Rattus norvegicus: one gene and its partner. The protein of the gene in region 1 interacts with the protein of each later gene in a biochemical or structural test. Links are inferred from orthologs where the notes say so. Each region holds a gene or a part of one and is shown on either strand. Other genes may lie near its edges.

Region 1 (4,119 bases):
AGAGAGTGAAAAAAAATAATAGCCAACACTGTTAACCAGAATTCAAAAGGATAAAGTGTGAGGTTTCTTTTCCAACTCGATACAGAACATTTAGTTTTTTTACTTTATTGCCCACCAGGAAAGTAGCCATGACTAGCGACATTTTTGGAACACCTACTGTGTGTCTGCTCTTATGTCAAGCCCTCTCCTTGTATCAGTCTCTGTAATTTCACAAAGCTCTGTGAGGTAAGACCCATCATTATCATCCTGATTAGCAATTGAGGAGGTAGTGTAGAGAATCGAATTCATTTAGTTTTTAGTTTATTAATTAATTAGCCCAATAGATGACTACAAACGGAGTAAGAACAGGTCTGAAGAAGTTTAAATGTATGGACCAAATCCTAACTACTGCACTAACAGAATGCATGGCCCCACATGCTACACTCTCCACGAGAAAAGAAATACTAGCCCTTCCCGTTTTTACGGAGGCAGGGTCTGCTTACCTAGCCATTCTTGCCTAGAACTCAGAACCCTCCTCTATCCATCGCTCGACTTCCGGGATTACAGGCAGGTGCCACCACACCTTTCTATCCTTCCTCTTTTGACGTGAGAGACAGAGTTCTCAGATCGCCCATGCCTGCTCTATATATCACTTCAAAACCATTTCCAGCAATAGTCCCCAAGTGTTAGAAACGCTCCCTGGATTTTCCCTTTTCTATCTGCTTAGGTTTTTTTTTTATTTTTACTTCTATTTTCTGCCTTGTCCCCTCAGAAGTCTACTGGAATCTTAAAACATTCTTTGGCATCTCCATTAACTGGAATTTACAGAGGGAACTTGTGACGAGTACAAAGCAGGTCTTCCAAACCTTACGACCTTACATTGGAACTCATATCATAATCAAAGGAAACCTGACCCCTGGGTGCATGGGTCCTGTTCCTGCCTTGCTCAGTCTGGGATGGCCAGGCATGATTCACACCTGCGCCTGTCTCCAGACAGTCTCCTGTGGAAGGGTTGACCTACTGGCCCCCTGGCAGCCGCTCCTTGGAAACTGCCAACTCTGCTCTGCAGTATCAACAGTCTAACATCAGGGGAAAGGCCGTGATAAATTTCTGGAAAGCGAATAGGAAGTTGTTTTGCAAGGCAGCCTGACACCAAGGGGAGGCAGCAAAAGTATAAGAAGTGTGGCTTGGCCAGAGGGAAGAAAGCCAGACGGGTCGGAGAGGACATGGTAAGTTTGTTTTTCTCTGTATCGGAATTAGAGGAGTCGAAGTGGTTTGTGGCTGAAGCAGACAGAAGAAAGGTTCAGAAAGTAAGGACCAGCATTAGCCCTGGGGCTTTGTGTTGAATGGCCTAGGTAGAATTTGCAGGCATTTTCCCCTCTCTTTTTGAAATGGGGTCTCGTTACCTTGACTCATTAAATGTACTATCCTCCTGCCTCAGCTTCCCAGGTAGCCAAGGCTTGTAGGTGCACAGCATCATGGTTAGTTTGTAAGCATTTTTAAAAGCCGGCTGATCATTTTGATTCTTCCAAAGTTCTTAGAAGTTTGAATAACTTCCATTTGACAAATAGAACCATTGTGGCTTACAGAGGGCAGGCATTTAACCACACTCTTTAAACTTGATGATGTTGCTATCATTCTCTGTCTACACCGCGGCTGCTTTTCCACTGGAACTTGCAGGAACTCCTTGGAGCAGATCTTGGCAAGGATGTCACCTCTTCGCTAAGTCTGCCTTTCTCTCTGGGATGAATGGAAGGCTGAGAAAGGGCCTTGGGGCATATCTACCACGGAACAGCTTCTAACTCTCATCCTTCCTAACCCATTCTCTAAATACTGGTAGTTTTCTAGGACCAATCCAGACTATCCACATGGTTCTGATCTAAATGTCTATCTTTCGTGTTACTAACCCAGTTTCCCCATATGCAAATGGGATGTAATGATAATATTCTTATACACCACCATAGTAAAGATTAAATAAGGTTGCACTGAAGAGCATTTATATCTGAGGCTGGTGTGTAAGTGATTAGCAAATTCTAACTACTGCTTTAAGAAAGAGAAAACTCCAGAGGTATAGTGAGGTCAGGGATTGAGGGGAGATCCTAAGATAACCAGGTATTTTGAACTCGGGACAGTGACTTTGGATAAAACATGCATAGTTGGGGTACTATCATGTGTATTTTTAATGTACTAGGAGTGTCTCACATAGTCTCAGAATCTGAAATCTTCTAGTCTGTACTTAAGGAGGTAGCAGAAGGGTATTGATTTTTAGACACCTTTATACAGCACTGCAAAAGAAAGCCATGCTTACCTCATGATTCTATCACTCCTCTCCCTCTCACCTCACTGCAACACACCCTTGCAGTACTTAAAGGGAAGAGATCACCCCTCACCAGTGTGCCAGTGTGTGTGTGTGTGTGTGTGTGTGTGTGTGTGTGTGTGTGTGTGTGTGTCTGGTTAGTAAAATAGAGACCCAGGATGACATTTGAGCCTGCACTCTTTCAATCACTATGGCAAAAAAAATAGGATTCCTTGTGTTTTTTAGCATGTCATTCTTCTGAATTGGTTGACATAAGCAAACGAGCCATCAATCTCTTCCTTCTATTCTTTTTGGCATCCTTTTCTAGTTCAAAGACATGGTGGCATAGATGGTGGCATTGTTCAGGATTCTGATGAAAGCTGCAGTTCCTGACCTAGATGAAAATATCCATATAAGCTGACCTTCATAGACAACTGTGCAAAGGTTCCTGGACTTGTGTGGCTTCCAGGAGACCCTTAAGATTTCCCTCCTGTGTGTTATACTCAGGAGTTCCTCGGCTCTATCTGGAACGTAGTCTAGGCTCTGCCGTGAAGTGTTAAGGACCCAGCCCAGCATTGATTGTAATAATTCAGATTCCTTCCTCCCCGAGCACATTTGTCTCTTAGGATTCAGGAAGCTCAGTCTGTCTGTGTGAAATCTGCTTCATATTTAGATAGCGGCTTCACTTCGGACCCAAGAGAATGAAGTTAAGGGGTATCATGTGGGACATTTTCAGCCAGCTCACAGGGAACGGCCCCTGCTTAGGGATTTACAGTTACATTATCCTGATTTCTGTCAAGGCTTTTGCAGGCCAAGGAACAGCTCAGGATCATGTCATGTAAACAGTTAACTACTTTAGGCTCCGCCTTCCAGTTTCTACAGTTCCTTCTACTTTATCGGCTCCATGTTGTTCTAGGCTGGCAATCAGCTCTTAGAATATGCATCTTTAAAGTTCTGAACAGAAATGATTACTAGTCACATCACCAAAAGCAAAAAACAAACAAAACACACACACACACACACACACACACACACACACACACACACACACACACGTGACTTTTGGCATAGGAGGCAGTACTGAGCAAAGCCCACGGGGAGGCTGGTTTTTATGATGACAGCCACTACCTTGTCTAATGTCTCTGCTGGAAAAGCAAGTCAGATGCTTTACAATGTCGAATGCAAAGAAAACACAGGGATGCAACTCAGCTAAGATCTTGTAGTGTTTTAAAAACTGTGTTTTATTTTAATGTTACTATTTCGTTTAACATAATGTCATGACTGGTCTAACTTAAGTGCTTAGATTCTGAGTGGTCGGATCATGGGACGCATCTTGTATTTATTTGAAATCTGCTCGACTTAGAGACAAGCCGTTTTCTGTGTGTTATTTGATGGGGGAGGGTGGGTGACTGCTAGGATCTTGGCCCTCTACCATTACCATCCAGGAACTCTGGGGCGCTAGGATCGGAACTGTTACAATGTTGCAATGCCTTGTGACATATGCCTTGGTCCTATGGCCTGACGTTGTTCTTATCTTCCTTCCCTTCTCCATTCCCATTGACTCCAGCACATCAATTCTTCTTTAACTTCCTTCAGGGACACAGTTAACAAGAGTTGCTTTTTGTAGCCTAGGGTTCTTGTCTCCACTCAACAACACTGCTAGATACATCTTTTCACTGGTCTGCTCTATTCAGGGCCCTGAAGGTGGCTCCCCTGTTGCTGACTGGCATTTGATACAAGACCTGGCCTCAAGCTACTTTTTCAATTACTCTCCAGGGCCCCTGTTTTTATTATCAGCCAGACCACATCATACTTCTTTTAAAGTTGCCCACTGACCTCTTCCC
Region 2 (4,400 bases), on another chromosome or scaffold:
AGACTCTGTCTCAAGAAAATAAAACCTGAGCTGGAGAGATGGCTCAGAGGTTAAGAGCACTGACTGTTTTTCCAGAGGTTCTGAGTTCAAATCCCAGCAACCACATGGTGGCTCACAACCATCTATAATGAGATTTGATTCTGAAAGAAAGAAAGAAAGAAAGAAAGAAAGGAAGAAAGAAAGAAAGAAAGAAAGATTTACATGTGGTCAAGAATTGTGGCACATGTAAATCCTGACACTTCAGGAGGAGGCAGAGGCAGGCAGGTCTCTCTAAGTTCTGGTCTACCAAAAAAACCCAAAAACCAAAACAAAAAACAAACAAACAAACAAACAAAAAAACAAAACACCAACCCAGTCAGCACTACATAGTTGGATAAGTGGGGCTTATCTCAAAAACAATCAAAACCTTGTATGTGGTGGAGGGTGGGGGTCGTAGGGAATGTGTGTCTGCACACACTTTTGTCAGGTGAATGAGATCTGTGAGTTTGTGGGATCACAGCCCATCCTGGTTGTGCTGAGTCTCTGGCTTCGAACAGCCCGGGAAACATTGCCTTAAGGAAATATCTTAACATTTAAACTTAAAAGCATATATCTGCTCCTTTGAAATCTTGAAATTATAACCCTTACCAAAACCAAAAAAAATTTGTCTTAAATTGAAAAAGTGGGAACTGCCCACCTAGGGATGCCACTCAGTGGCAGAACATTTGCTAGTAAGCACAGGCTCGGAGGCTAAGAATAACAAGAATTAATTTAATTAATTAATTAATTAATTTAATCTGAATTTCAAAAAATACTGGCTCTACGGCAGTAGGATTTCGGTTAAAACATCCCCACCCCCACCCCGCACGTAAGACAGGGTTTGGTATTAAATTTCACCAGCTCATTGCCTGGTGACTGGCTAGACTCTGTGGCCGAGAACCGAGGCTTCCTCTTGTGTCCCAGCAACCTAGTGGCATATTCGCCGCTGGTTTTGCAAGCCTTGAAAAGCACAGTCCGGCGAGGCACGTGATACTCTCCTTTGTCACGGAACAAAGGCTGATCCGAGTTTTCAGCCCTCACTGAAAGGAGGGTTTGCCAGGGCTTGCTAGAGCTTCCGATTACAAGCAAGAGGGAGGGCGACGTGGCACCAAGTAAAGAATCTAGCCACAGGTACTTTCGGCCGCCCCTGGATCCCAAGATAAGCCCGCCTGTGTCTGCATTAGCTCCTTTTGTTCTCCAGCCGTAAGGCCATTAAGCAAATATTGACTAAAGAAATGTGCAAATCGTATCCAAAGTAGATTTGCGCACACCAAAATCCTGATCCAGACACTTAGACTTACTGGGGGCCTACTGTGTGTCAAGATAAGACCCTGTCCGATCAGGAAGTGGCATTCCCACAAAAAAAAAAAAAAAAAAAGGAAAACCTTAATATGCTAAGTTGTTTAAAACACGGAGCCTGTCCTATGGGTACCCGAAAGTAACCGTTCTTTATTTTTACAAAGATCTTTTACTACTGCAGGTGACAAAAAAAAAACCCTAAATAATAATAATAATAATAATAATAATAATAATAATAATAATAGTAACGGAGCCCAATGCTCAATCTGTGTCTAGAGGTCCTCTCCAACACCAACAACCAATTTTTACATGTTAATTATTAAATTGGCACTTAACAGTTCTCCACCAAGCTCCCTTGATTTGCTTAACCAACACCTCCCTCTCAACATTTCTATGGGGAAGGGAGCTGAGAAGGGAATCCGGGTGAGACCAACCAGTTTCGGGATGCTGAGCCCCTCCTAGATGGGGGTTCGGGAGGACTGAGAAAGGCCCCGGGGCACAGCCAACCCACAGAGAAGACAATGGGGTACAGTTACCCTGCCTGAGATGGGGAAGACGAAGCGCGCTCCAAGCTCTTGGGCTGCTCTCCCAGGTGAGCCCGGAGCCTGGATCTCTAGGGTCCGAAAATCTGGCGCGCCCAACTTTTCAGGGGCGAAGCCCGAGGGACATCCCTGAGCGAACCGAAGGCTGTGGAAAGCCACGGTCTGCTTCTCCGAGTCCCGCCCTGGTCTCCCAGGCTCAGGTCTCATTCTGGGCGCGGCTCCTTCACCCTTTCGCTAAGGCAGCTAGAGCAGCGCCACCCATGGTGTTGGGGGGTGAGATCTGTACCCGGGACAAATCTAAGAGAGGAAACGGCTGTGGACTAGGACAAAGCCTGGCGGAGAATCGGGACACTGGAGTCCTGCCCTCCGTCTCTACAGTGCCATTGGGTCTGGGCTGAGATGGGGCCCCTAAGGTGGCCAGGGATGGAGGTGTGGGGTCGCACCGCGGGAGTTTGTGGCGTCGGGAGGTCCCTAGCTTCAGGACTGAGAACCCCCGGTGGAAGACAGAGCCACAACCAGGGATTCCTGGGCGATCTCCAAACCAGTTTGGACGGTGGAGAATGGGCGTGTGCCACGCTCCCCCGAAGGGGACCGTCCCCTCTCTTTGTGTGGTTCGCAGGGAGCTCGAAGACCCTCCGTGGGAGGGGAGGGGGGGCTCTCTCTAGGGAGTCCACTCCACGAGTTCCCCAAGTCACATAAAATTCTCTCCCTACCCCTGTGCGTGGCCGGAGGTAGGGACTTCACCCCTGCTACACACACACACACACACACACACACACACACACACACACACACACACACGCCCCCAGGACGCGGCCCCACGCCACACCGAGAGCAGGGTCTCACCTGCGTGGGTAGGAGCAGTGCCAGAAGCAGCAACCCCAGCCCTAGCCTGACCACCATCGCTCTGCCCATGTCCGCTCCGTCGGCGCGCGGCGCGACTCTCTGGATGCTCGGTGCGTGGAGATGTGCTCGGCTGGCGCGGACGCAGGCAAGGTGGGGAGCGCGGCCGGCCGGCGGGACCTTATATACCGGGACAGCCACAATAGCCGTGACGTGCGGCGCCCGCCCACCCCTGCTCTCCTCCTACCCTGCCGCCTCCCCGCTCCCCACCCCCCTGCGCCGCTCTCGCCCCCTCCCCCGCCGCCTGCTCGGAGCCCGCCCGGGTGACTTGGGATGTCCCGAGGCGGCCAGCGCGGCAGGTGGGCGGACGCCCGGGGCTGTGACCCAGCTAGGGTTTCCCGGGGCGGGCAGCGTGCACAGGCGCTGGCGACTCCCACACGGGACCCGGGGCGAGCACACGAACCACACACGCCGCCCGGCCTAAGTTTCCTTTGTTTCCCCGGCCCTGCCATCTTACCCCCCAACAGGAAAAGTCGAAGCCGCGGGCGCCGCGCAGACTGCGCGGAGCTCGGGGCTGGGTTTTCTCAAGTGCCCGCTGCAGGGGGGAACTGGGCAGGCTTGGCAGGTCCCTGGGCCGTGGCGCGTGGGGTTGGCGAGCAGACCCGGCGCCGCCTCGCGCTGTCCCTTGGCGGCTGCACCGCAGGGATCGCAGGGATCGCAGGGATCGCAGGGATCCCGGACCCCAGCCGTGAGTATGCTCGGCTGGGCGGCCGCCCCTCGCTCGGCTGCTTGCTTTGTGTTTTGAGCTGGTCTAGTGCTGCATTCAGCAGAGCGCACCCGGGCAAACCCCCCGCAGCATCCACCCGGACCTAGGGAACAGCCAACTGCGCACGGCCACGGGGCGGGACACTGAGAGGGACTGAGTTTCGGTCCAAATAATCTCCACGTTTCTGGGGACGCGCTTGTTCTGCCCAGTACTTGCTCAAGCCATTTTCCTCCATAGCTGCCGTGTAAGTCATTTTGACGAACCGATGCAAAAAGAGCAGTCATCGGTCTGTACGTTTTAATGGAATCTTTCTTTCGACCCTCTTCCTTTGTGAGAACTCAAAAGCAAATTTGAAAATTATTTAGTGGTGGAATATTTTTAAATTTTAATCACAGGGTTCTGGACCTTCCTATTTAAAGTGGTAGCCCACGTGTTTTGCGGCCCGTAAAAAGCCAAACAAAACAAACCTAGCAACGGTGGAAATTTGTTTAAATTTCAATTTTTTGCAGAACAGCCTCGTAAAAGCAGAGTTTTATGGGTGCAGGCTGACAATGGACTCCGTAGTCGTCGGTTTGTGGCTGCGTTGGCCTGAGCCTTACCGGGTCAGCCACAGCCGCTCAGTAACTTTCCACGTGTGAGATGTGCTTGGACACACAGGAATTTCTGTATAGCGCCAGTGAACTTTCCTGTCTAACAGTTACCACACTGTATAGAAAGGTCATTCTGTGCCCAGCTCCCGGCTCCTCACCGAGGGTGGCGCCTAATCCCAAGCGCCCGCCCGGGTCTTCAGAGCTTCTCCGGGACAGACTAGGGGACTTCTCCTGCTGTTGCTCCAGGTTTTGCCCTCCGATTGTTTTTCTGCCCCTCTCCTCAGTTCTCCATTCTTCCCCCTCCTTCCTCTTACTTCGTCTCCCGCCCCTTCTCTTGGTATT

Evidence for each region.
Region 2: the proteins of Selp (region 1) and Cd24 form a complex in vitro, tested with the Homo sapiens proteins (2 studies listed by BioGRID and IntAct). The link is inferred for Rattus norvegicus from reciprocal best matches to the Homo sapiens genes SELP and CD24.

The regions. Positions count from the first base shown.
Region 1 is NC_086031.1:79,008,323-79,012,441, forward strand, and holds the start of Selp (P-selectin precursor), read left to right. Parts: upstream 1-1,188; 5' UTR 1,189-1,205; coding exon 1,206-1,208; intron 1,209-4,119. UniProt on the Homo sapiens protein: Ca(2+)-dependent receptor for myeloid cells that binds to carbohydrates on neutrophils and monocytes. Mediates the interaction of activated endothelial cells or platelets with leukocytes. The ligand recognized is sialyl-Lewis X.
Region 2 is NC_086038.1:48,654,926-48,659,325, reverse strand, and holds the start of Cd24 (signal transducer CD24 precursor), read right to left. Parts: upstream 2,850-4,400; 5' UTR 2,775-2,849; coding exon 2,706-2,774; intron 1-2,705.